3 linked regions of the Diceros bicornis minor genome follow. The protein of the gene in region 1 binds, or shares a complex with, the protein of each later gene. Links are inferred from orthologs where the notes say so. Each region holds a gene or a part of one and is shown in the gene's direction. Other genes may lie near its edges.

What was found. The genes of interacting proteins can lie anywhere in the genome.
Region 2: GEMIN4 (region 1) and GEMIN5 share a complex: the UniProt entries of both Homo sapiens proteins name them as parts of the SMN-Sm complex. The link is inferred for Diceros bicornis minor from reciprocal best matches to the Homo sapiens genes GEMIN4 and GEMIN5.
Region 3: GEMIN4 (region 1) and GEMIN2 share a complex: the UniProt entries of both Homo sapiens proteins name them as parts of the SMN-Sm complex. The link is inferred for Diceros bicornis minor from reciprocal best matches to the Homo sapiens genes GEMIN4 and GEMIN2.

Annotation. Positions count from the first base shown.
Region 1 is NC_080757.1:16,807,627-16,815,588, reverse strand, and holds the start of GEMIN4 (gem-associated protein 4), read left to right. Parts: upstream 1-4,428; 5' UTR 4,429-4,472; coding exon 4,473-4,482; intron 4,483-7,651; coding exon 7,652-7,962. Other genes in the region: diazepam-binding inhibitor-like 5, read right to left, coding at 3,185-3,448. UniProt on the Homo sapiens protein: The SMN complex catalyzes the assembly of small nuclear ribonucleoproteins (snRNPs), the building blocks of the spliceosome, and thereby plays an important role in the splicing of cellular pre-mRNAs.
Region 2 is NC_080740.1:71,286,610-71,294,710, reverse strand, and holds the start of GEMIN5 (gem-associated protein 5), read left to right. Parts: upstream 1-4,530; 5' UTR 4,531-4,584; coding exon 4,585-4,750; intron 4,751-5,562; coding exon 5,563-5,723; intron 5,724-6,446; coding exon 6,447-6,628; intron 6,629-8,101. UniProt on the Homo sapiens protein: The SMN complex catalyzes the assembly of small nuclear ribonucleoproteins (snRNPs), the building blocks of the spliceosome, and thereby plays an important role in the splicing of cellular pre-mRNAs.
Region 3 is NC_080744.1:11,013,533-11,021,916, reverse strand, and holds the start of GEMIN2 (gem-associated protein 2), read left to right. Parts: upstream 1-4,813; coding exon 4,814-4,983; intron 4,984-5,381; coding exon 5,382-5,466; intron 5,467-6,843; coding exon 6,844-6,933; intron 6,934-7,213; coding exon 7,214-7,273; intron 7,274-8,384. UniProt on the Homo sapiens protein: The SMN complex catalyzes the assembly of small nuclear ribonucleoproteins (snRNPs), the building blocks of the spliceosome, and thereby plays an important role in the splicing of cellular pre-mRNAs.

The DNA of each region.
Region 1 (7,962 bases):
ACTTTCTGCCCATCTCATTTGTCCCGCAGTGCCATTGTGGTTTAGCAGAGTTTTCTGGAGGTCTCCAACTTGTCTCCATGGAAATTTATGATGAGAGTTAATGGGAAGTTTCAATTTGGTCTAAGATTTCTTACCTTTACCCTTGGAAATCTATAGAGAATTTACTTTGGCCTTAATGATCAATAAAGAAGTGCCCTTGCCTCAGACCTCTTTCTAAGGTAGTAGAGTCTATGGTTCAAAAATCAAAACAGCATAAAAAGGTATACATTGAAAAGTCTCGCTCCTACCCATCCCCATCAATCCCACTGCCTTCTACTTACTAAGCATACAAATATGTGTATTCTTATTTCTCCCTTTTTCCCACCAAATTTAGCACACTGTGTGAACTATACCTTGCTTTTTTTTTTTAATGTATCTTACAGTTGCTTTCTGCAGTCCTAATTATGGTCCACTTTATCAGGTTTTATAATGATTTACAGAATGATGTGGCTATACCTACAGCTCCTAAATTGACGCCATATTTTGGAGCAAGATGTTCCATTATTATTTTTACTATTAATTCACATTTAATATTAATCATGGTCCTAAAAGCATCAAAATGTGTTCATAACATCCTCCAAAGAAAAGAAAACAGCACAATTATTGTACAGTGTGGATCATGCCCAGTTTATAGTTATAAGGAATATTTTTTTAGTCACTGGTGTCCTGGGTATACTTCATTCTTAAGTAATGTACTTAGTTTATAGCAGCTTCCTGCAAATGTGTGAACAGAAGATCTGAAGAGATCTGGTGAGATTTGGTTTCTTTGTCCTCCGAAGTCTTTATGGTTTTTGCTTCTATTGTTTAATGGTTTTTCATGAACTGGAGCTGCCCTGATAGCTATGAAAATAGGTTTTTTTTTTTTTTTATGAGGAAGATTGGCCCTGAGCTAACATCCATTGCCAATCTTCCTCTTTTTGCTTAAGGAAGATTGTCCCTGAGCTAACATCTGTGCCAGTCTTCCTCTATTTTTTGTATGTGAGACGCTGCCATAGCATGGCTTGATGAGCGATGTGTTGGTCCGTGCCCGGGATCCGAACCCATGAACCCCAGGCCACCAAAGTGGAACACATTAACTTAGCCACTGTGCCACTGGGCTGGCCCTGAAAATAGTTTTTAGTTGAGGAAAAGTATTAGGAAATTCTATGCCATGGCAGATGTTTTTCCCTGAAATGTCTTGAATATCATTTAGTACTCCATATCCCAGTGCACCACTGTGCATTGATGCCTCCGTGATAAGGAGTGGAAGCTGAGCTCAGGTACTTTGGCCCTTGCATAGGTCATGGGGTGTGTTGTGCTCATAAAACAAAACCCATATACATATATATACGTGTTGTCCCACAAACATCCCCAAGCAGAAACCAGGCTTAGCTACAGGGTAGTCCCAAGAAACTTTTGTCTGCGTGGCCTCAGATGAGTCTTTCAGAGGCTGGGATTTTGAAACCATCTGCTCCAGTCTTTCTCAGCTTCTGTGTTGTGGTGCATCAGTTACTTCACTTAAAGTTTGACTCCCCTCAAAACAGTAACTTAGGGCCGGCCCGGTGGCTTAGCGGTTAAGTGCGCACGCTCCGCTACTGGCGGCCCGGGTTTGGATCCCGGCCACGCACCGATGCACCGCTTCTCCGGCCATGCTGAGGCCGCGTCCCACGTGCAGCAACTAGAAGGATGTGCAACTGTGACATACAACTATCTACTGGGGCTTTGGGGAAGAAAAAAACGAGGAGGATTGGCAATAGATGTTAGCTCAGGGCCGGTCTTCCTCAGCAAAAAGAGGAGGATTAGCATGGATGTTAGCTCAGGGCTGATCTCCCTCACAAAAAAAAAACATTAACTTCATCAGGACTGTATTCTAGTAGGGGCTTTTGGTAATAGAACTTGACTTGAGCTTTTTGGAAGACAAAGCTCCTTTCCCCTCTGTAACGGTGGGTTAGTAGTGAATCCATAACCCCTGAAGAGATTAGGGGCCTCGGCCTCCTCTCCTCCCTTCCCCTCCCGCAGAGGCTGAGCCTCTGGAGAATGGCTCACTGACCTCAAATCTTGGGCATTTTTATAGCATGATTCTCCCCCCCAGTCCTCTACTCCTGCCAGATGTCTACATATGCTCTGGGAATAGAAAGACTGGGAACTCTTTACTCAGAATCATACACAAAGCCAGTTTTGATGGAACTTTTCCCAGAGAAGAGATGCTTTTTATATATTGTGGACACCTACCTAGGACTCTCACAGTCACCGATACCAGCTCAAGACAAGGTTGACATAAGGGAAGCCATATTGTAGAAAAGAAACCCTGTTGTAACTTTTTTTTTTCATATTATTTATTTATTTTCCCCCCAAAGCCCCAGTAGATAGTTGTACATCACAGTTGCACATCCTTCCAGCTGCTGTATGTGGGACGCGGCCCCAGCACGGCCGGAGAAGCAGTGCGTCGGTGCACGCCCGGGATCCGAACCCGGGCCGCCAGCAGCGGAGGGCGCGCACTCAACCGCTAAGCCACGGGGCCGGCCCTCCCTGTTGTAACTTTTAATGGCCTCTGACTAGCCCAACTGGATATGCACCCTCCAGGAGATGTAACCGCTCTGTAGATTTTACAACTCCTGCTTGTGCATGTACCTCCCAGCTGTGATGAGATGATAACTTTGTTCTTTTGAGTTCCTTAGGAATGTGATGACCCCCTTACAGACAGTCTATGCTGATAGCCATCATCAATGAAACTGAAAGATCTGGTGTGGCGACTCCCAGTCTGAGGGTTGACATTCCTAACCCCCTCCCCTATACCCCACCGGCCTATATAACTGCTGTAAGATTTTGTGCCCCCTTAAGATGGTTCTTTGAGACATTAGTCAGCCATCTTCCCCCTTGCTAACAAGATGTGATAAACTGCCCTTTCTTTTCCACCATCTTGCCTCTTGATGATTGGCTTTTGTCTTGCAGCAAGCAGATCCTGCCCTTTGTGCTGTAACTTGACTTTGAGTTTATCACTTTTCCAACAGCAGACAATCACTCCCATGCAGTTTAAGTGATTTATTGATGTCTCAGCTATGGTTGTTATGGTTTCAGGACATTTCAGCCATCAAGGTCTTTTAAGAAGCCCTTTTCCCTACCAGAGGCGCCGTGCTACTTCGGTCTGACTGACACTCTGTCCTCCTTAACCAGTATCGTTTTTCTTCAGCTCTTCCACTTTTGCAACATAGATCCTTATGGCGTCCATCTTGGACATCCCTTTGTTCTGGTTCCATGCCTCCCACTTGGCCTTGGCTTTCACGTCTGTGGTGGGCGGGGCAGGGATGTTGCAGTCGCCCTGGGTGGCCTGTTTGTAGAAGCTGTACACCAACAGTTTCTCTTGATCACTCACAGGTCCCTTCAACTGCTTGATAGCAGCACAGGCCATCTCAAACTCCACCTGGCACATTGCAGGAGCTGAGGCGGCGCCCCTCTGTCCTTTCTAGGTGGTATCTGGCGCTAGAAGCTGGAGGGGAGAGAGTTAAAAACGCTTGAGGCTGGTAGTTAAGTCTGGAAAGAAGGGAAAGGGAGAAAAGGAAACAGGGTAACGTGTGAGAAGCCCATAGGATATTTGTGTGTGTGTTTTCTCAGAAATCAAATGTGTGTTTTTATAAAGTACAGATTGCAAACTGGAGTCCATTGGACTGGATCTGCCCCCACAGTTGTTCTTGCTCGAATTTTCTGGGGAGGACAACCATTAACATTTCAAAGGAGTCTATGATGCCAGAAAAGAAGGAGCTGCTGCTGCTGTCTGAAGGCCGAGCACTGGGGCGATTGTGGGCTGTGGGGCTAGGCGGCTCCGAGCCGGAGATGGGCAGACCCGCTGCGGGGGGCGAAGCCTCTCAGAGCATGGCGCGTCTATGCTGGTTGGGAGGCAGCCTGGGGAGAGGCATTCCGTCTGGGTGAACTGTGTGCGGGGGGATCCCGGGGATTACCGAGTCGGGGAGGATGCGGGGCCAGGGACGGAGCTAAAGGGTAGGATCGACCGGGACTCGAGAAGCAGGGCTAGGCAAGGGACTGGACAGATGCGTGGCTGAGCGGAGCACTGAAAGCAAGGCGGCCGGGCCTGGTGGCCTGGGTCGGGGCCAGACGTTTTGGGGGCGGGCAGGGACCGGGTAGAGGGAAGGGCGGGCCCGCCGCGGTGGCAGAGAGGCGCAGGCACCTGCCTGTCGGCTGGTTGGAGGCTTCGGGCCGATAGGGGGCGCTGCGGGCCCGGCGGCCTCGAGGCCGCGGGCTCGTTGGTAGGACCGCGCGTGCGCGCCGAGCGGCGGCAGGACTGTGCGGACCGCGCGGAGCCCGAGCTGAGACTGGGGGCGGTGCCTGAGGCGCGGCCTATTGTCCCGCCCCCCCGCTGCCCATTGTGCCGTGGCGCCTGCGCCGCGCTCGCGGCCTTGGGGGGAGGGGCGCCCCGCGCTGCCGCTAGCGTCGCCGCCATGGACCTAGGTGGGTGTCCCGGCTGCCCGGTCCCGGGCCCGCCTGGGCCGCGTCCCGCGACGGGCGGCCGGGGCGGTGCTGAGCGGGCCCGGGCCAAGGGGGACCTCCTGGTCGGGGGGATGTTGGGGATGGGTGTCCTCGAAGAGCGGGGGTCGGGAGGCCGGGCTCTAGCCCGGGCCCCGCCGCTGCTTGGCCGGCCCCTCGCCCTCCGGGCCCCTTTCCACGCGAAAGGCCAAGCGGATGTGTAGTTAGATTTCCTGAAAGTGGACCGGACTCGAGGGCGCCCCGGGGAATCCCGGATGCCCTGGCGGTCTCATTTATTGAACGTCTACTGTGTGCTTCAGCAAGTGTCTTAGGCTCATGAGGCCCTCACTGATAAAACGTGGATGATGATAATGTAACCGCCTCACGGAGTTGAGGGGTTTTCGTGGAGATCACGTGTATACAGCGTCTGGGACGGCGCCTTGCGCGGAGCTAGCGATCATCAGACCAGCAGTTGTGGGGAGGGGTTGCAGCAGCCGTCGGGCACGTGCATCTTGACTCAGAATCCTCAGGCAAGGTCTAGGAGAAGGGAGCGGGGCGCTGGTATAAATCGGTGGCTCTTTGCCCAGCTTCCCACCCTGCTGGACAAGCTCTTAAGGGGATAAGACAGGCGGCTGTTCTGGGAGAGCTGGGGGAGGTACCCCAAGATGCGCCAGTAATAGTAGGCTGTGGAGAAGTGTTCCGGTCCCTGTCCCCAGACAGCTCTTCAGTGGTGGGACGGTAGAGCTGCAAGAGTCCTGCAGCTGTGGTGATTTCTGTCCCAGACCTACCGTTTTTAGTTGCGACATCCTGAGCAAATTGTTTCTGAGTCTCAGCGTTTCCATCTCTAAAACAGGAATAGTCCTCAAAAGGTTGATTTGAGGATTAGGAGAGATCTTACATGCATACCACCTAGCACAGTGCCTGGCATGGAGTAACCACTTAATAAACATGATCAGTGGGCACTCACAAGCACCGGTTAACCAGCAGTGATAAAACACTTGGGATCTGCCCAGGGATAAACTGCTTCTGGGACTTATTCCTTCAAGTAGCACGTGTATGTACTTATGGATTATGTCTCTGGAAGCTAGGTGTTGGGGGAAACATCTCAGTTGAGCTGATAATGCAATAAAGTTAAATTTACAGAGTCATAAGGGAACATATATGAGGGCCCTGGGAGAGCAGCCTGAGTAAGAAAGAAGGGCCAGAGCCCCTCAGCAACCTACCCCTCCCTGGGAGTCTGCTTTGGCCACTGGGAGCCAAGGTGGATTGCTTTCACTAGTGGTTGCATAGGAGGGCTGATCCCTTGGCCTTTTGCTGCTCCTGTAAATGGTCAAAGGGGTGGGATATTCTGTAGTCTCCTGGAATCTGGATTTTTTCTCGCCTCCTGGGGTGTGAAAATGGGGAAGATGTATTCTTGGAGGCATGAGGGAGTGAGGAAGGGGTGGCATCTCTGGGTCCTGGGAACGGGGGTGGGGGGATGGGGATGAAAAGTTAAGAATACTGAATAGTGAGCTGGCCTGGTGGCACAAGGGGTTAAGTGAGCGCGCTCCCCTGCCGCGGCCCGGGGTTCGCCGGTTTGAACCCCGGTCGCACACCAATGCACCGCTTGGCAAGCCGTGCTATGGCGGCGTCCCATATAAAGTGGAGGAAGATGGGCATGGATGTTAGCCCAGGGCCAGTCTTCCTCAGCAAAAAGAGGAGGATTGGCAGATGTTAGCTCAGGGCCAATCTTCCTCACAAAAAAATAAAAATAAAAAAAAATACTGGATAGTGAGCAGTGTTTGTGCTCTGATTTGGTTTCTGGGCCAACGTAAACAAACCTGAGAAAGACCTGTGTCCTTTTTTGTTTCTGAGCTGGGGGAGGCAAAAGATAGTGACAAGATTCTGGTCCTGCCAACAATAGAAAGGTTTGGGGAAAGCAATGTTTTTTGAGCACCTAATTGGGCTCTTTGTAGCCTGACTCTTATCATAGTTATAGCTTATTTAACCCTTGGCAGACCTGGCAGATGGGATTGGGAGCTAACAGTGAGCACCAACCCACTGCCACGGGTTTGACTAGTATAGAGCATTTGATCTTCACAGTCATAATATGAAGTCTGTATTATCCCCACATGCAGAAGGGAAGCTCAGAGAAGTCATCTGTCCAAGGTCACACTGCTTTTAAATGGCTGAGCTAGGATTTAAAACCATGTCTCATTAAACATCCCAAGATGCCTTCCTTGATAAGTCTGTGTCGATTCATGGCTCACTGAAGGAAGGACTTTTCTTTCTTAATCTAGTGCAGTATTTTTTTTTGTATCTACCTCTTGGTTTCTACCAGAGAACCAGGGCCATGAGTAGCTTGTTCTCTTTGATGGAAAGAGCCGTGGGGTGAACTGTTTCCATGAAAGGCAGAACGTTTGAAATCTGTTTGCAAGACAAGGCTATAAGAGAAAAGTGCTTGTCTGATTGCTTCCGTGCCTCTCCTAGTCTGTATCCTTACTTAGAAGCTCACTTGTCACGTCCTGCAGTATGTACTTGGTGGCCCCTGCGGTTGGGTATTGTCTTTGTGCTATTCTCCTCTCTCTCTCACTCAGCCCTTCCTCCCCAGAGCCTCTGCTGATCCATCCTTTGCTGGAGGGCCTAGCCTCAGAGGTGGAGCTTTTCCTTTTCACTTGCTTTTCCTGCAGGATCTCTCTCACTTCCTTGGTTCCAGTGATCCCCTCTGGGCAGACACCTCTCTGAGTCACATTTCAGGGCTGACTTTCCTCATGAGTGTCAACCCCACATTTCCATTGCTGGAGGACGTCTCTACCTTAATGTTCTACCCCAGACTCCAAATAACCAAATCTAAACAGTGTTCCCTCCAAACCTGTTCTGATTCTCCTGCATTCCCTATTTCCAGTGGTACCTGTTGTCTTCCCAGTTCCAGGCTAGAGAACTGGGGAGTCCTTTTTATTCCTCAGGTTAAGTTCTTTTGACTCCAGCTCTGCAGTGCCTCTTAGAACCATCTCTTCTTCCCCCTCTCCCACTGATTTCATTTAGAACCCTTATCATCTCTAACCCTGATAATGACAGCCAGCCTACTAACTGCTGTCTCTCCCTCTAATCTCGGCTTACTATTCTGAAATTTTTTTCACCACACTCTTATCTTATTTGGCTTCTCTCTGTGCAGGACCCTTGAATATCTGTGAAGAAATGACTATTCTGCATGGGGGCTTCTTGCTGGCCCAGCAGCTGTTCCGCCCCAAAGCACTGGCAGAATTGACAAAGTCTGACTGGGAGCATGTTGGGCAGCCCATTGTGGAGGCCTTGAGGGAGATCTCCTCCACCGCAGCATGCTCCCAACCCTTTGCCTGGAAGAAGAAAGCTCTGATCATCATCTGGGCCAAGATTCTTCAGCCCTACCCTGTCAGCCCCTCTGACACTGAAACTCGGTGGCAGGAAGATGTGTTTTTCTCAGTAGGCAACATGATCCCTACCATC
Region 2 (8,101 bases), on another chromosome or scaffold:
TATTAGTCTCTTATTTTTCATAACCACCCTCTAATGTAGATATTATCTTCATTTTTTAAGATGAGGAAACTGAGCTTCAGAGAAGTTAAGCACATGGCCACAATATTTGTCTGCTGCAGAGATCCGAAATCCAGCTCTATCTCCTGCAGCCCAGTGTTGATTCAATTATATCACACTGTTGTCATCATTTTTCCACCAAATTGCTAATTCATGACATTTCCAACTTGGTTATTCTTGCAGAGAATTTTAACCTACGTACAGTTTAGTCACTAGTGCTTTCAAACTTTTACACTAGCTCTTCTATTTCTAAACCACCAAAATTACTCTTCACTTTTTTTTTTTTTTTTTGGTGAGCAAGATTAGCCCTGAGCTAACATCTGTTGCCAGTCCTCCTCTTTTTGCTGAGGAAGACTGGCCCTGAGCTAACATCTGTGCCCACCTTCCTCTATTTTATATGTGGGACACCTGCCACAGCATGGTGTGATAAGCAGCCTGCAGGTCCGCGCCCAGGATCCGAACCCCAGGTACCAAAGCAGAGTGCGCAAACTTAACCAGTACGCCACCAGGCCAGCCCCTATTCTTCACTTTTTAAACTTAAACTTTAAAATCACCTCTTCCGAAAAAAAGACTCCCCTGACAAACCCCTTCTGGGCCCCTCACTCTGTCTCTCCCATGGTGTGACAGAGCACTATTCAAAGCCAGAGAATTTTTTGTTTAGATCCTAGGTTTGCCTTGTATTAACAGTGTAACCTTCCGTAAGTCACAAAACTTCCCAAGTGCATCCATCAGGAAAATGGGAGACTCGGAATTTAAAGGTTACAAATTGTCAGTCAGCTACCAAATACAGCCTACAGAAAAGTTTTACTTGGCCAGCAGCATTTTTTCTTAATCCAATAAAATGCCTTTAGATGAAGAATGCACCCTACTGACTGCCACACGCCCTACCACTCTCTCTCCTTTTACACAGCTCACCTCTCCTGGTTCGTTGATTTCTACCAGCTGTCTGGTATCTATATGCAATTAGGTTCCCAACTGCTGAAACAGATGATCTCTAAGATTTTACATGGTCATCATGAACATTTTTTATACCTTTTCTACTTAGTTTTTATATAATCATTTCCCCATTAGAAAGTCCAGAATGCGGATTCACAAAATTATATAACTTCAGAACTAAAAAGAGACTTAGAAATCATGTAGCAAAATCCAACCGTCTTGTATTACACAGATGAAAAGACTGAAGTCAAACTGCTTAAGTTACCTGCTCAGAGCTTCCCAGTATAAGTCAGTGCAGGACAATATAAATCAACAAAAATTAACAAAATATTCACTTTGTGCAAGATCCTATGTTGGAGTTACAAACAGAAACAAGAATTGTCCCTCTGTCCAGGAGATACAAGCTAGTAAAGGGCACAGACACATATACGTGAAGCCATTATTCAAAGAACACATGCTGAAAGGAAGGAGAAATTAATTTCTTCCATTTTTAGTGAAATCTGAGAAAATCTTGTGAAGGGGAAACATTTCCACAGATGTTTGAATAATGAGGACTGCTGTTATAGACAGGAAGTGAGGGCACAGCATGAAAAAGCCAAGAAGTAAGTAAATGCACAGCATTTTCAGAAAAAGTAAGTAAACCGGCATGGCTGGGGTGGAGTGATAGAAAATAATCTAAGAAAGCAAAGTGAAGACGAATTCTAAAGGCCAGTGCTTCCCATTTTCTTCTTTAGCCCACCTCTTCATCCCTGACCCAAGAATCTAGGACAGGGCTAAATATAATGGGAATATATTATATTATATTATAAATATATTTATATTTTATTATTTATTTTTTATTTTATTTTATTTATCTTTTATATTTATTTTATACCTATATTTATATTATTTTAAATATATTATATTTATATTATAAATATAAAAATATTATAAATAATAATATACAACGACAAAACCACTAATGGCAGCTAGGATTTAAGGTGGGATTATTATATGCCATCCACTATACGAAACACTTCATATGCACTATCTCATGTAATCTCCATAAAAAAATCTATGAAGTAGGTACTAACATTACTCATATAAAAGAACCAAAGCTTAGAAAGGATAAGTGACTGTTCCAAAATTACAGAGTTATGAAGTGGATTCACACTCAACTTTTCTGTCTCCAAAGCCCACGAACTAAACCACAATAAATGCTAACAAATGCCCCGATCAGAATATTTACAATCAGATTATCAATCTCCAAATATCAACAGCTGTACTGCTGACAAGGAACAATGAGAGGGGAGCAGAGAAAGGCTTCTTGCCAGTACTGACTCAACTGCATTTCCTAATCCTAAAGAATGCTTTTGTCCTGAGGTCAAAGAATGCTCTAGAGAGTATAATATAAAGCTTCAAAACTTCCTATGACTGGGGGACCTTGGGCAACTTATTTTACTTTGGGGGCTTCAATTTCCTTGTCTGAAAAATGGGTATAGCAGTACTACACTACGTGGACGTTACGAGAATGAGGTAATGCGTATAAGGAGCTTAACTCAATGTGAGGCACGATGTAAACCGCGGTTGTCTACAATACAGTGCCTGCTCACGTAAGCAAGTAACGAGAGAGGTCACTAGAAAAGCTGCACGCTCCCGACATGGTTGGGAGAGTCTAACCACGTCCAGAAAGATCAAAAGAGACTGTTCAGAAAAAACATTTTCAACGTCCCTTGGATAATGGGTAATCCTGATCTCCGCAGGGCTATGCAACACGGCGGGGAAAAAACGGGTTGGCAAAGCAGAGACTGGCTCTCTTGTTCGCTAGCCCCAGAGCCTAGAGCAGACCTTGGCACACACGCTCAGTAATCGACTGACAGACTAGTAAGGAAGCCTCGGGCCCTTCTGCAACTCCGAGGCGAGAAACTTACCCCAAGGTCAGCTTCCCCCTCAGATTCTGCATCCATAACGCACCTGCAATATCAACACAAGCCATCACTTCAGACTCCCACCTCCACTCCCTTCCTCCATCCCTTAACTACTAAAGAAATCCTTACCCAAACGTTCCAGTACTGCCGCCGCCATCTTTGTCCCTCCCTCTACGGAAGCCTCCGAGTTCATACACCGTCTGGACAAGACGCATGCGCAATTCTCCGGATTTCCTCCCCGTCGGGAGACCCAGCAGTACCTATACCTGTGTTGTCATGGAGACCGTGAACACGCGGCCGGCGCTTAAGTGTGGTCCGGCCAGCCTTGCTTGAGAATGAATGACTTAATAAAGGCCTAAAAGTAGCGAGTTTCCGGAAATTCATCGGGATCCAGAAAAACTGCGAAGCCTTACCTCACAAATGATCTAAAGGATTAGGAAAACAGAGACCGTGAATAAGCCACCTAACCTGGGTGGGCCTCAGTATTCTCGTCGGTAAAACAGTCAGAAATGAGTATCCCTACAGCACAGGCTTGTCGTAAAGATCACTAGAGATCGTGGGAAAGCTCTTTTAAAGAACAAACAGTTCAAATACTAAGTATGACGTCCTAATCCCTGCTAATCTCCAGGTTGAGGTTGATGTCCAAAAGATGAGTTAATATTCATCGGGCACTTGCTACCATGTATGCCCAAAAGGCGTTTCACTAAATCTCCTGTAGTCCTCACAGCAATCCAACAAGGCATGGATTATCATCTTCCTTCTTCAAATGAGGAAACAGATATGGGATAAGTTAAAGTCTCTCAGATAACAACTGGCAAAACCAGTGGTCAATCTAGGACTGGGTGTCTCCAAAGTTAGTGCCGCTGCCCACACCCAAATATCTGTTTGACCTCACTATAATAGGAGAGATATTTCAGGTTTCATTTGCTACGGATGTAGGAGGGCTAGATACCCAATGCAAACAAGTAATTCAGAAGGAGAGTCTAAGTGCTGAATCTGAGCATCTTAGCATGTTTGCGTTGGAAGGAAACTTCCATTCTCTTTCCTCCACAGCCTTTACCATGTACAGTGCCCTTCACAGAGCTGGCACTCAATCAATCAAATCAAAAGAGTGTCACTCATTCTGCTTCTCCTTGAGTACCAAGAACCCAGAGCCAGAATTTCCACCTAGTTGCAGACACTCTTCCTTCTCTTTTTGATTTCTGATTTGACCTTTTTATCTTTTGTTAATTGGCTTCTTGTACATATCTTTAAAACATCTCCAGAGTTAGCAAAGGGCCTTGGCACGTAGCGTTAAAAAAAAATACTTGATGGGATAGCGGTTGAACAGGTCCAAAGAATAAACCGGCAGTGCGAGGAGGTGACTCCACCGGTCTAACCCTTTAACTATGTACCTTGCTCTAAGAGGCGAGAATGCCTACCTCAGGGCTAGGCTCAGGCATCACCAGAGCCTTCGGCCGCGGGCGGGGTTGGAGGCAGAGAGCGACGCGCGGGGCCCCGCCCTCCCCGGCCCCCGGCGGCGGGAGCAGAGCGCGCGGTGCGGCCTGGGCCTCCGAGCGCGCCGTAGCGGCAGGCCCGAGGAGGCGGGGCTCCGAGCCAACCCCGCCCCCTTCCCGGCTACGGCGTGGGGCTACGAACCTTCTGCCTCAGCGGCTCCTTCCCTCTTCCCTGGTGGCGGGTCATCATGGAACAGGAGCCGCGCACGCTGCCGCCCTCCCCTAACTGGTACTGCGCCCGATGCAGCGATGCGGTGCCCGGGGGCCTCTTCGGCTTCGCGGCGCGGACCTCTGTCTTCCTTGTCCGCGTGGGCCCGGGCGCGGGCGCGATCCCTGGGACGCCCCCATTTCGAGGTAATTCTCCTTCTCTGGGCCTCAGCCTTCCTGCACTTCTTGAGTTCCCTGGGGGCGCTGAGTGGGCGTCTCCAGCCACCCCTCTCTTTACAGGTGGGGAACTGAGGCTTGGGCAGGGAGAAAGGTCTGCTCACAGTCACTGAGCTGAGTCGCGTCCAGGTCTCCAAGATTGAGCTACACCACTCTGGGCGAGCGGTCCCGCCTCCCGGCGCTCTCACGTGGGACCGCTCGCTTTCTGAAAAGTTATCCTTGTCTAATTCCAGGCATTTATAACGTCTATGGCTGGCCTGCCTGCCTCCCCCACCCAGTGAGCTCGGGCCCCTGGGAGCCTTCCTGGGCTTGGGGGCTGCCTACATCTCCAGGCCTTAAGCAAGATCCTGCAAATATATTATACTCATTTCTGTAAGATAAGTGACTTGAGCCAGATGCTTTCCGGTTCCAAACTAGGTTTTGATTATGCCTTGGGATATGGCATGCCAGATACTTATTTTATTCCAAACGACCTCTGGCCAGATCTAAATAAGAATCACTTTTACATTGTTCATTTGAGCTGCTTCTCAGCCTGAGAACTGGGCTCATCAAGGGATGTCAGCAGCATTTTGCAGTTGGGAAGACAGGCTCAAGGAGATAAAATGACTTGTCTGAAGTACGTGGTGGAGCCAATACCAGCACTTGGGGTTTCTGATTGTGACTCCCTGGATATTTTTGTTATACAGTAGAGTAAGTGAGATCCCACTCATCATCTCAGGACAGTATGATTCTGCCAGAAATCTTAGGTAACGCTCTAACCTGGAGTCTGGTTTTGCTTGAAGTCATAGGGGAGTTGGTGGGACACACCGAAAGGGTCTCTGGCTTCACGTTTTCTCATCACCCGGGTCAATACAACCTCTGTGCCACCAGCTCTGACGATGGGACTGTGAAAATTTGGGATGTAGAGACAAAAACAGTTGTGACAGAACATGCACTGCATCAGGTACCATGGCTTACTGGTTTCTTAGACCGTTATTATCTATCTGTACTGAGGGTTCTTTTGCTTCAAGTATAGTTTTGCTAGCTCATCTGTGCAAGTAACTTTTATAATTGTGTTCATTAATTAGATAAGAAGTTCTGTATTGTAAGGTGCCTCAAAACTTTTTTGGAAGGAGATACGTATAAACCAGGTCAGCAAACTACACTGCTGCCTGCTTTTGCAAATTGTTTTACTGGAATACAGCCACAGTCATTCATTTAAGTATTGTCTACAATTTAAGTATTGGCTGCTTGCATGCTACGATGGCAGAGTTGAGTAGTTGCAACAGAGACAATGTGGCCCACAAAGTCTAAAATATTTACTATCTGGTTCTTTACATGAAAAAGACTCTTGATGTAAACTATAAATGAGTGAATGAAACATATTTCTAAACCAGTTGATTAATTGATATACCTGCCTTTTGAGATAATGTTGGAAAGGAGAAGACTCACTTAATCTTAGTAAGAACTTTGCATTAAGCTATTAAAGGAAGAAATTTTTTAAAATGGTTCTTTGATCCCCAGTAGCCTAAATTCTCCTATCATTTGGTTAATGTAGTCTTGCTCTACAAGTGGTACTAACAGTATTTATTAAATACCTATCATGTACCTAGTACTGTACAGGTTAAAAACTAAAAATTCAGCATTGACAAATGAGAAGCAAATGTATTTTTGTTTTGGTTTCAAGCATACAATATCAGCATTGCATTGGTCTCCTCGAGTAAAGGATTTAATAGTATCTGGAGATGAAAAAGGAGTAGTTTTCTGTTACTGGCTTAACAGAAATGACAGCCAGCACCTCTTTATAGAACCCAGGACAATTTTCTGTCTTACTTGCTCACCTCATCATGAAGACTTAGTAGCCATTGGGTAAGTACTGTACCCTCTGTATTGATAATTTTTGTTTATGATCATATTTCGCATTTGTTTTACCTTCTCCTGTCCTTTATTCCTCAGAGGAGACCATTTGAAGATTTTAACCACTCTCCCTGAGCCCTTGGTATCATTCATTCCTGTGACTTCCACACCTTTACTATCTCTCCTACTCTCTCTGTTTTTGTTTCCTTTGTTTCCATGGTACTGTACTTTCCTCATTCTTCATATCTGGTTTCTTTAGTCAACCTCCAAATGTGGGAAATACCCTCTTTCGCCTTTTTCTCCCTCTGTACTTGTCCATGGATATAACACTTACTCTTAGAGTGTCAAATGACTAAGCTCTGTCTCTCTGGTCCTCAGCTCTCCCTCTACATTGAGAAAGTGATCTGGCATTGGGGTCCGTCTCCTCATTGATCACCAAGGTTGTTTTACAGGAGCTGCCTGAGTAGGCATCTCCCTTTCCTTCACCACTCCATTTACTCCTCTCTCAAAGATGTCCATTCTCTGTAGTTTGAAGACTTGACATAAGCACTAGGTATATGGGAGTATTAAATGGAAGATAACATTTTCCTTTATGAAAGGGCTATATTTTTGTGCTGATGGAAATGAGGCAGATGAGGGAGAGCTTGTTGCAGGGATAAACAGTGATAAATATGAATACAGGAGTGATGTTGAGAAGTCATGAGGGGATTGGATCCAGATCACAAGTAGAAAGAAGAGCTGAGAATATGGAAATCGGTGCAGGTAAGTTTGTAGATCTGGTTGGAAGAGAATGGTGTTTCTGATGGCTTCTGATTTTCTCAGTGAGGTATAAGTCAGAGAGGTGAAGTCAAGTTCAGGGTGGGAATGGAACTGGATGCAGGAAGAAGGTATGAAAACAGTCATCTCAGAGAATAGGAAGATGAACTTCCTGAGGGAAGTGGTAGGTCCACTGGTGCATGTTGACTGCCAAGCTAAGGGTCATGGTCATGACTTTAAAGAAAACTACTCAAACTGACTAAGGAGATGGTTGGATTCAGCCAGGTTTGGGATTTTGTGGAGTAAATATACCTGAGAGAGAGGGGACAGAGGAGATAAGGGTGTTTTTAAAGGAGTGATTATAATGATGTATCAAGAAATCTGTGTTGCATGGGAGGAAGGATAGGAAGACAGGTGAGGGTAAATAATAGAAAATGGAAGGGGTCTGTGGATCGGTGGTCTCTGGGAACTGCGAGCATTGTTGCAGTGGGGGTACTAGAGAGGGGGAACAGAGAGGGTGGTGGGCAGGGGTCAGAGAAGGTTGAATCAAACTGACCTTGAAAGATGAGCAGGAATTCACAAGAGGAGAAGAGTCTTTGAAGTAGAGGGAACTGCACAAAGTCCATGTCTTCAAAGATTGATATATTCTATGATTTATTTTTTTTTGTGTGTGAGGAAGATTAGCCCTGAGCTAACATCTGTTGCCAATCTTCCTCTTTTTGCTAAGTA
Region 3 (8,384 bases), on another chromosome or scaffold:
GCCTCTTCACCCTGAAGGATCAAGACAAAATTAAGACCACTCTGTAATCGTGTCTGAAGTCAGACAAAATCAAGACAGTTGTGAGGGGAGGGCAAAAGTGGTAACAAGGTGATGGATGTACGGATGTACGGTGATAGACAGCAACTAGACTTTTAGTGGGGAATAAGATGTAGTCTACACAGAAGACGAAATATGATGTACACCTGAAATTTATACAATGTTATACATCAGTGTTACCTCAAAAAAAAAAATCAAGAAGATTGTCCAGTGAAGCCTCTCATCACTTACTGTGATTGTATAAGCAAGAGTTTAAACCTGGTGATCAGTGCCTCCCCCTGCTCCATTACCCTCATGGAAGGGCGTGCTGGTTGAGGGTCAGGTGGAGCAGGACAAATGTGGGGGTCATCTCACTGTTGAGGGAGCCCCGAACAAGAGGCTCCTGCAGATTTATCAAACCAGGTGCGTGGGGGGTGGGGGGGGAGCAGAGCGGCACTAGGAGTGGAGAAGTCCTGGGTACTGAGTTAGAGTGGGAAAGTTTCCTGGAAAGGAGACCTCCAAATGGAGACCCCTGGGCTAGGAATGCAGCTGTGCATAACAGCATGGCCGGCCAGGGGGCCTGAGTCCTTGACTGCAAGTTCCTTCAGAGACTGCAACGCACTGGCTGGGTGCACCAAGTCTAACGTGGGGAGGACAGTTTTCCCCTGTGAAGCCTGCCGGGTAAAGTCTTTGTAATTACTTTTGGTCGGGCCTGAAAAACCACAAATAGATTTTTAACCAGGAGCTGGACTCTTCAGAATTATCCCTGTTTCCTGACAGCAAAGCGCCACTGTCCCCAAATCACCTAACAAAGCCCAAATCCTACAATATATAAGTTAGTTCTAACCCCATCTTACTGAGACATTGCCTGGTTTCAGTAACCACGTGACTACAGGAGTATTCTGGTGGTCTCTGGTTGAAGGGCATTGACAGCCCCCAGCACACAGTAGGAAGATACTCCGTAAATATTAACTATATACAGCTACATTTCTCACAACCCTGTCCAGCACCATTCACTCCCTACCTTCTATGCATTAGCCACACTGACCTCCTTCCAATTTTTCCACCATGACCTACTTCCTCCAGCAATAAGGCCTTGAACAAACTCTTCCCTTTACCTGCTGAGACTGAATATACAAACAGACAATGGCCAGACCATACACATAAAAAAAGGACTCTGACCCACAATCTGCAGCAATCACCCCAGGAAACCAACCTATTATTCTACAGTAACCAGGCTGGCAACAATCCAAGAAGCCAAACAATAACCCCTGTAATGACTGTCCCAAAATAGCCAGAACTTCATTAATAATTGACAGCTTTCCTAATTTTTTTCCCCTGCTTCCAATTTAGAACCAACCAGAGAAAGCAAAACATGCACCCCCTAACCAATTTCATAGGATGTCCCACTTCTAGGCAGAATAGGGTTTCAGGGCATACCACCCCAAAATATGCCACTTTGGAACACTAATTATTTTGAGTTAAAGGCACTTGAAAAACAGCAGATGCAAGAAAGCTGCTCTGATCTTTTTTCTTCTTGAAAAGAAGAGATAAAACTCTCATGTGAAAGGCGCCCTCTCTAAACCAGGAGAAAGGAAGACCTTCTTATCACCTGACATGGGGAGTTAAGGCCAAGATACATCTGTACAAACAAACCTTGTTAAAGTAACCTTTATCTTCCCATTTACTTTTCCACAATTATCTGCCCTAGCCCAAATTCCTTCGTCTTGTCACAATTTACTATTTTCACAATTTACTATTTTTTGTCCAACCTAGTATGTAAACTTTGGGCGCCAATCTCTTTGGGTCTTGATTTTTCTTGTCAAGGTTCCCATGTACATGTAAAAAATACTAAATAAAATTTGTATCCTTTTCTCCTGTTAATCGGTCTTAGGTCAGTTTAATTCTTAGGCCCAACCAGAGACCCTAAGAGAGTAGAGGAGAAATTTTACCTCCCCTACAGTAGGCCACCTACAGCTTTCTCATGCTAACAGCCTCCCCTTTTTTCCAGTATAAGCTTTCCTACTTCTCTGCCTGCCTTTGAGTCTTTGCCAAAATGCAAGTAGTGGAGGCTGACTCCCTTCTTATAGCCAACTCTGAATAAATAGTATTTGCTTGTTCTCATTTGGTCAGTCTTCATTTATCTCCACACTGCAAGGCTCTTCCCCTCCCTTGAAATGTTCCTTAATAGAACTTATCACAGTTAACCTTTAAAATTCATCTGTGTCACCGTTTGGTTAACATCTCTCTGTCCACTGGACTGTAAGCACCACAAGAAAAGCAGCTCACCACTGTCACTCCCAATGCCTGCCCACCACAGTGCCTGGCACGTAACAGAAAACCGATAAATAACAACTGGATGACTAAATTCATTAAAGTTTAACGGCATAAAGAGGCAAGTGAAATTTTAGATTGTGGCCAAGGAAAAAAGAACTGAGAAAGTAGGATAAGACAGAAGAAATTCTAGTGTAGTAGATCTTAAAGAATAGGGAGGGAAAGGATAAAATGGATAGGCTAAGCTTTGTTTCTCACTTGAAATGCTTCTTAAAATGTCCACTTCAGGGCCCCACAACCAATCAACAGAATCAGAAACTCTGGAGGAGAGAGTTACAGGACCCCAGAGTCTCTATTTTAAATAATTTCCTCCAGATAATTCTTATACACACTAACATTTGAGAATAACTGAGCTGCTTAAGGGGATATAAATCACAGGGACAACTTTTGCATTTAGCTCTGTAAGGTTGACAACAGAAGCCACCATCATCAATAAACAGCTGTTGAGTGTTCTGTTCTCACAACGCTCATATAACTCCAACAGCCAACCACCAATGTAAGAAATACTGAAATACAAAAATCTCTCCCTTATAAGCTGAGAAGTGACTGCAAATCCTTGAAAATGGGGCACCAGAGGGAGTTGAGTACCTTAGGAATAGTCTTCCTGGGAGGAGGTTAGATGAAATGGTATTTATAGTTTTAGAAGTTCAGCTTTCCAAAAATTAAGCTTTTTTTTTTCAGAATAACTTCATCAACAAAATAAACTTATTCTCAGCTGTCCCATATCTCACTGAAACATTAAAAAAAACTTAGTGCAATTTCCAATTTATAACCATATTAAAAATCTGCTCCAAAACTCACTACTAATTCTTTTGTCTGATTAGTTTGAAGTAGCAGAAAACAACCTTTATAAATTTTTAATTTACCTTCCTCTCCCCTGAATGAATTCATTCTTGTGTATCTAAAATTTTAGAACCATTTCAGAATCATTCGTGTACTTTATTACTCACCTCTTCTTTTGGAGAATAATCTATTATTCTTTCCTGGACAACCTTTGTTCCATTCTGCTAGTCCTCTCCTTTCTTCCTTCATCCATGCGTAGTTCTGCCACATACTTATACATAAAGTCCGGTGTTAAGCATTGTTCCATTGGTGGTTGGTCTACTAGGTAATCACCTGTTCTTTTCTCCAGAAAAATGGGGAGAAATTGCTAATAAGGGAAAATATATATATATATATATTTGTAAGGAAATCCAGAACTGAAGTCTCTGCTTACCTTTTCTAATTTGTTCTTGATTATAACCAAAAAGTTTGGGGACGAGAGTATCTTCCCATATTTCTTCTCTTTAAGTCTGTTTCTTCCAAAATCAGTAAAATTTATAACCAAGTAACTTCCCAGTTTGACTGCAGCCAGGCAGTGTCTCTCCAAGTCTCCCAGTTGCTTAGTTACCGTTCATGAGCACTAATTCTTCAGCTCTTAACCTAAGGACTGTCCTCCCTTTATCTTCAACCAAGAAAGTGACATTCTGGTTTCGAAATCAATTGCTTGCAAGCTGAAGGCAGTGCTTCAAAAAAAGAAAAGACCTTAAAAATAAACATAAACCTTAGAAAATAAGTCAATTGCATTCACTCAGAGTTTGTTTAGAATGAGACATAACACTTGCATTGTTTCTTGCAATTTATGACCCAGCACAAGCTACTTACTCCATTTCTGCCCTGTTTCCTCACCTGTCAAGCGGAGATAATAGTACCCACCTCACAAGATTCGCCCTAAGGTTAATAATGCTAACTCCCGGGTGTTGGCATTAGCTTTATCCTTTGCACTATTTATATTTAAGCAAAGAGACCTTTCTGAAAAAAGAAAAAAGTGACGGCTACTCTAGGAGTAACATTCATTTCAGATAAACCTGAAATGATAAAGATAAAGCGATCTTTGAAATAACCAAGTACAAGAAATTCCTCTGGAAAATTAATTTTTCATTCATTTGGCGTCAGATGAATCCGGTGGAAGTGGCTCCGCCCCTTTGGGAGAAAGGCACAGTTGTAGGACTTACCCCCTTTCGGTCGCTTTCTTCCCCTACAAAACCGGGGTAATACCACCTACTTCAAAAGGTGGCAGTAACATTACACTACGAAATGTATGTGACCTGTCTACCGGGGGCTTAAAACTTGAGAGCTCAATAAATGATCATTACAGTAATATCGCTCATTAATTCAAAAAACATTTAAGGATCCCTCACTACTACGGACCCATAAAGGTTGGTAATCCGCAGTCTTCACCCGAACCTTAGCAGAGAGAACGGAGGATACCACGCAGGCGTACTTCAGAACCCCTTCTGCCAGGACCTAAATTCGCGGTCTCCATTACACCACCGGAGCCTTAACCTTGAGACAATCAGCATGTTTGCTTATGCGCAATTACGCCCCCTACGCCCGGCCTCTCGCTCAACTCCGCGCCAAAGGTGCCTACTTGTGCGCCTGCGCTGTAACCTAGACTTGGCGCATGCGCTGGGTGGGACTGGCTGGATTGAAAGCCATGGCGTGGGTACCAGTGGAGTCGGCAGTAGAAGAGTTGATGCCCCGGCTGCTGCCAGTGGAGCCCTGTGACCTGACAGAAGGCTTCGATCCCTCCGTACCCCCGAGGACGCCTCAGGAGTACTTGAGGCGGGTCCAGTGAGTGATTCGGCCCGGAGCGGGTGGGCTGGTCGTCCCCCTGCCCGCGGGGCCCCGCTCGACCCCAGTGTTCACGTGATAAAGCCCCGCCTCTTTTGCCGGCCCTCGTCTCCCGCCTGTTGGGGTCTGATCAAGATCCCCTGATTGCATCTTGACGTGGGCGCGTTTCTATGAACTTAATTCTGTAAAACCTGATTACCTGTGTCAAGATGTGTGCTCTTAGATTTCCTTGGTTTCAACCCAGATAATTTCAGAAATGTGTTGTTTAGTACCTCAACTGCGGTTCTGAACTTTTCTTCTGATTTCGTAATGAACTGTAGAAATGCATCACTCGTTTTACTGCACATGAACAAAGCACGATAGTAATCACATTTCTTGCATTTATCATTTATTTGTAGGATCGAAGCAGCGCAGTGTCCAGATGTTGTGGTAGCTCAAATTGACCCAAAGAAGTTGAAGAGGAAGCAAAGTGTGAATGTTTCTGTGAGTTTTATTACCTGTCAGGGGATATTTTTACCCCCACAAATTAAAAGACCAAGGCTCTTTCTATAATATCTGACAGTATCAATTATGAAGTAGATAAGATTTGACTGCACCCTGCAAGGTTAGACGTTTGCTTGTACTTTTTCCCTCAGAAGGATGGTTGGCATTTACTGCCTCCGAAGAGGCTTTCAGTAACCCTGGCGTTCTTGGAGATTTGCTCATTCTTGAGGGACATGATCCAATCCTAAAGGAGTCTTTAAATAGGTTATTTATGCTATGTTTTGTTTTTAAGGAACCTTTTTCCAGTTCTTCATAATTATTGGACTGGTGTTTTATTTAGTGTAGTTTGCATGTTCTAAATTTGACTAGGTTTTCTTTTTGGAAACCCAAATATTTTACACTTTTCCAGCTACTTGCACACTGTGAACGTTTTCATTCTTTTATTTATCCAGCACATTTTTATTAAGCATCTAGGTTGTGCCAGGCACTGGGAATACAACAGAGGATGAGACAGGAAAAGTCCTTACTCTTGTAGAGTTTACATTCTCCTGAGGAAGACAGAGTAAACAAATAAACAAACTAACTAATTACACGTTTGTGACTATTACTATGAAGAAGATTAACATATATAATGACTAATAAATAACAGGGAGAACTACTTTACATAGAGCAATCACAGAAGGTCTCTGAGAAGGTGCTATGTAACCTAAGGTCAGAGGAGAGCTGCGGTTTTTAAATTGTGATAAGTCCTTTTCCTTTTATGTTCGAAATCTGATGTTTATAATCGCGAAATTTTAATTCAGTCACCATAATATGTCATATAATTCCTTTCGGAAGTTTTTAGATGGTGGAAGATGATGTCTTATATACCTAGCTTTTAAAAAGTGACCACAGTAAGTTTTATTTCAAGGCAAAATGTGATCAGTTGTGAACTGTGTGCTGTTTTAGGAAACATAAGTAGCCCTTGTAAAGTCAAGTGTCTTAAATTATTTATCTACATTCTGCCCATACCAAAATTCTTTATTTCTCTTTTTGTTTCAAACTGTTTTGCTATTATAGAAGGATAGTCCTAGATTGTATCTTCAGGGCTCAGATCATTTAGGTTTCTTAGGAACTCCAACTATAAACCATTTGAGATTGCTCTTGTTAAAGTGACTATATAAGGATCTTTTCCTAATGTTTTAAACTCAGACATAAATAGTAAAGTGAAATGCCTACTTTTTTGCATCTGCAAAAAGTACACAATCTTTCTTATATAATTTTAATCATTTCCCTTATTATTGACTCTCCTTCTTGGTTCTACTTTTACTCTGTAGAGGCATGAGATTCTAGTTATACCACTAACATTGATTCTAATGTTTGTGAACTGATCTCTAGCTGTCAGGATGCCAGCCTGCTCCTGAAGGATATTCCCCCACACTTCAGTGGCAACAGCAACAAGTGGCACAGTTTTCAACTGTTCGACAGGTAAGTGTACTTTAATCATTTAATTAAATTAAACTCCTCCCTCCCTCCTTCAGATTTATTTCTGTTCTTAGACTGTAGTTGGAAAAATAAGATTCCTGATTCTGAAGTATAAAGATAATATTTATGGATGAATTACCAAATTATTATCGTAATATTAGACATAACACAGTTTGAAACGTTATTTTCCAAGTTTTAGGGTTGTTAGAATGTTGTATAGAAATTGATTTCTTTTCAGTTATCCCTTCTCTGAAGATCACTTGTCTAACTTTTCTTCCTCTAGAGTGTGAACAGACATAGAAGTCACTGGAAATCGCAACAGTTGGATAGTAACGTGACCATGGTATGTAAGTTTCTCTGTTTAAGTTGTCCAGTGTGTACCTATTTGAAATAGGCCATATGTACTTCCAGTCTTTTAAAGATTCACTTTCTTAGTCCATGTTATTTTCATTCTGTTCCATCTACCATTAACGGTAGCAATTCCATTATATTAGTAGCCTGAAAAGTATAGAGTCAGTATACAACAATGCAAGTTATTTTCATGACAGTTTTAATCCACAGCATCTTGAGAGACTTTGGATGGGTAATTGTTAGGCCTCTACAAGTTTCTAAGGGTTCTTCTAGACATTTGCTTTTTAGGAAATAAATACATTTTCATATTTACAAAAAGACTGAATAAAGGCTTATTGGATTTTCCTGATGAGGAAGTGACGCCAATACCAGTAACAGTGCCTGTCACACACGCCGGAAAGTAGTATTTCCCATGTTTTATCACGTTGGATATAATTTTAAGCTCTTCAGTAGATATTTTCTGTCTGGACTACTGAATAAAAAAAGAGAGTTGGGGAAGAGATAAATACATTGTTCCGGGACAATACTTTTAACGTTTTAGGGAGTCTCATATTCATCCTGAGAATCAAATGAAAGCTATTTATCTTCAGAGGAAAAAAATGCATCTATGCACACAGTTTTGCTCATAGTTTCAGGTGGTTCATAGATTTCAGATTTTAGAAGCATCCTCTAGGCAGTGCTTCCTAACATCTTATACATGGTAGCACGTTGGGATAATGGAGGAGGCTGTTCATATAGTCTAAGCCCACCAGCTGAAAGCTGCGAGATTCAGTATATGGCCTCTCTATGCTTCTTCATACCAGATGGAAGCTCTGCTCTAGGAAAAGTATGAAAGAAACTAACAGCACTTGCCCAAGATCATTTAACTCATAAAAGGTGTAGCTGAGATTCAAACCGAAGTTTGTCTGACTCAAGCCTTTCACAGCCAGCCCTGGAGGTCAGTGGTTAAGATTCGCTCCCACCACCTCAGCCCAGGTTTGTTTCGCATTGAGGGACCCACACCACCCATCTGTCAGTTGTCATACTGTGGTGGCTGTGTGTTGCTATGATGCTGAAAGCTGTGCCACTGGGATTTCAAATACCAGCAGGGTCACTCACAGTGG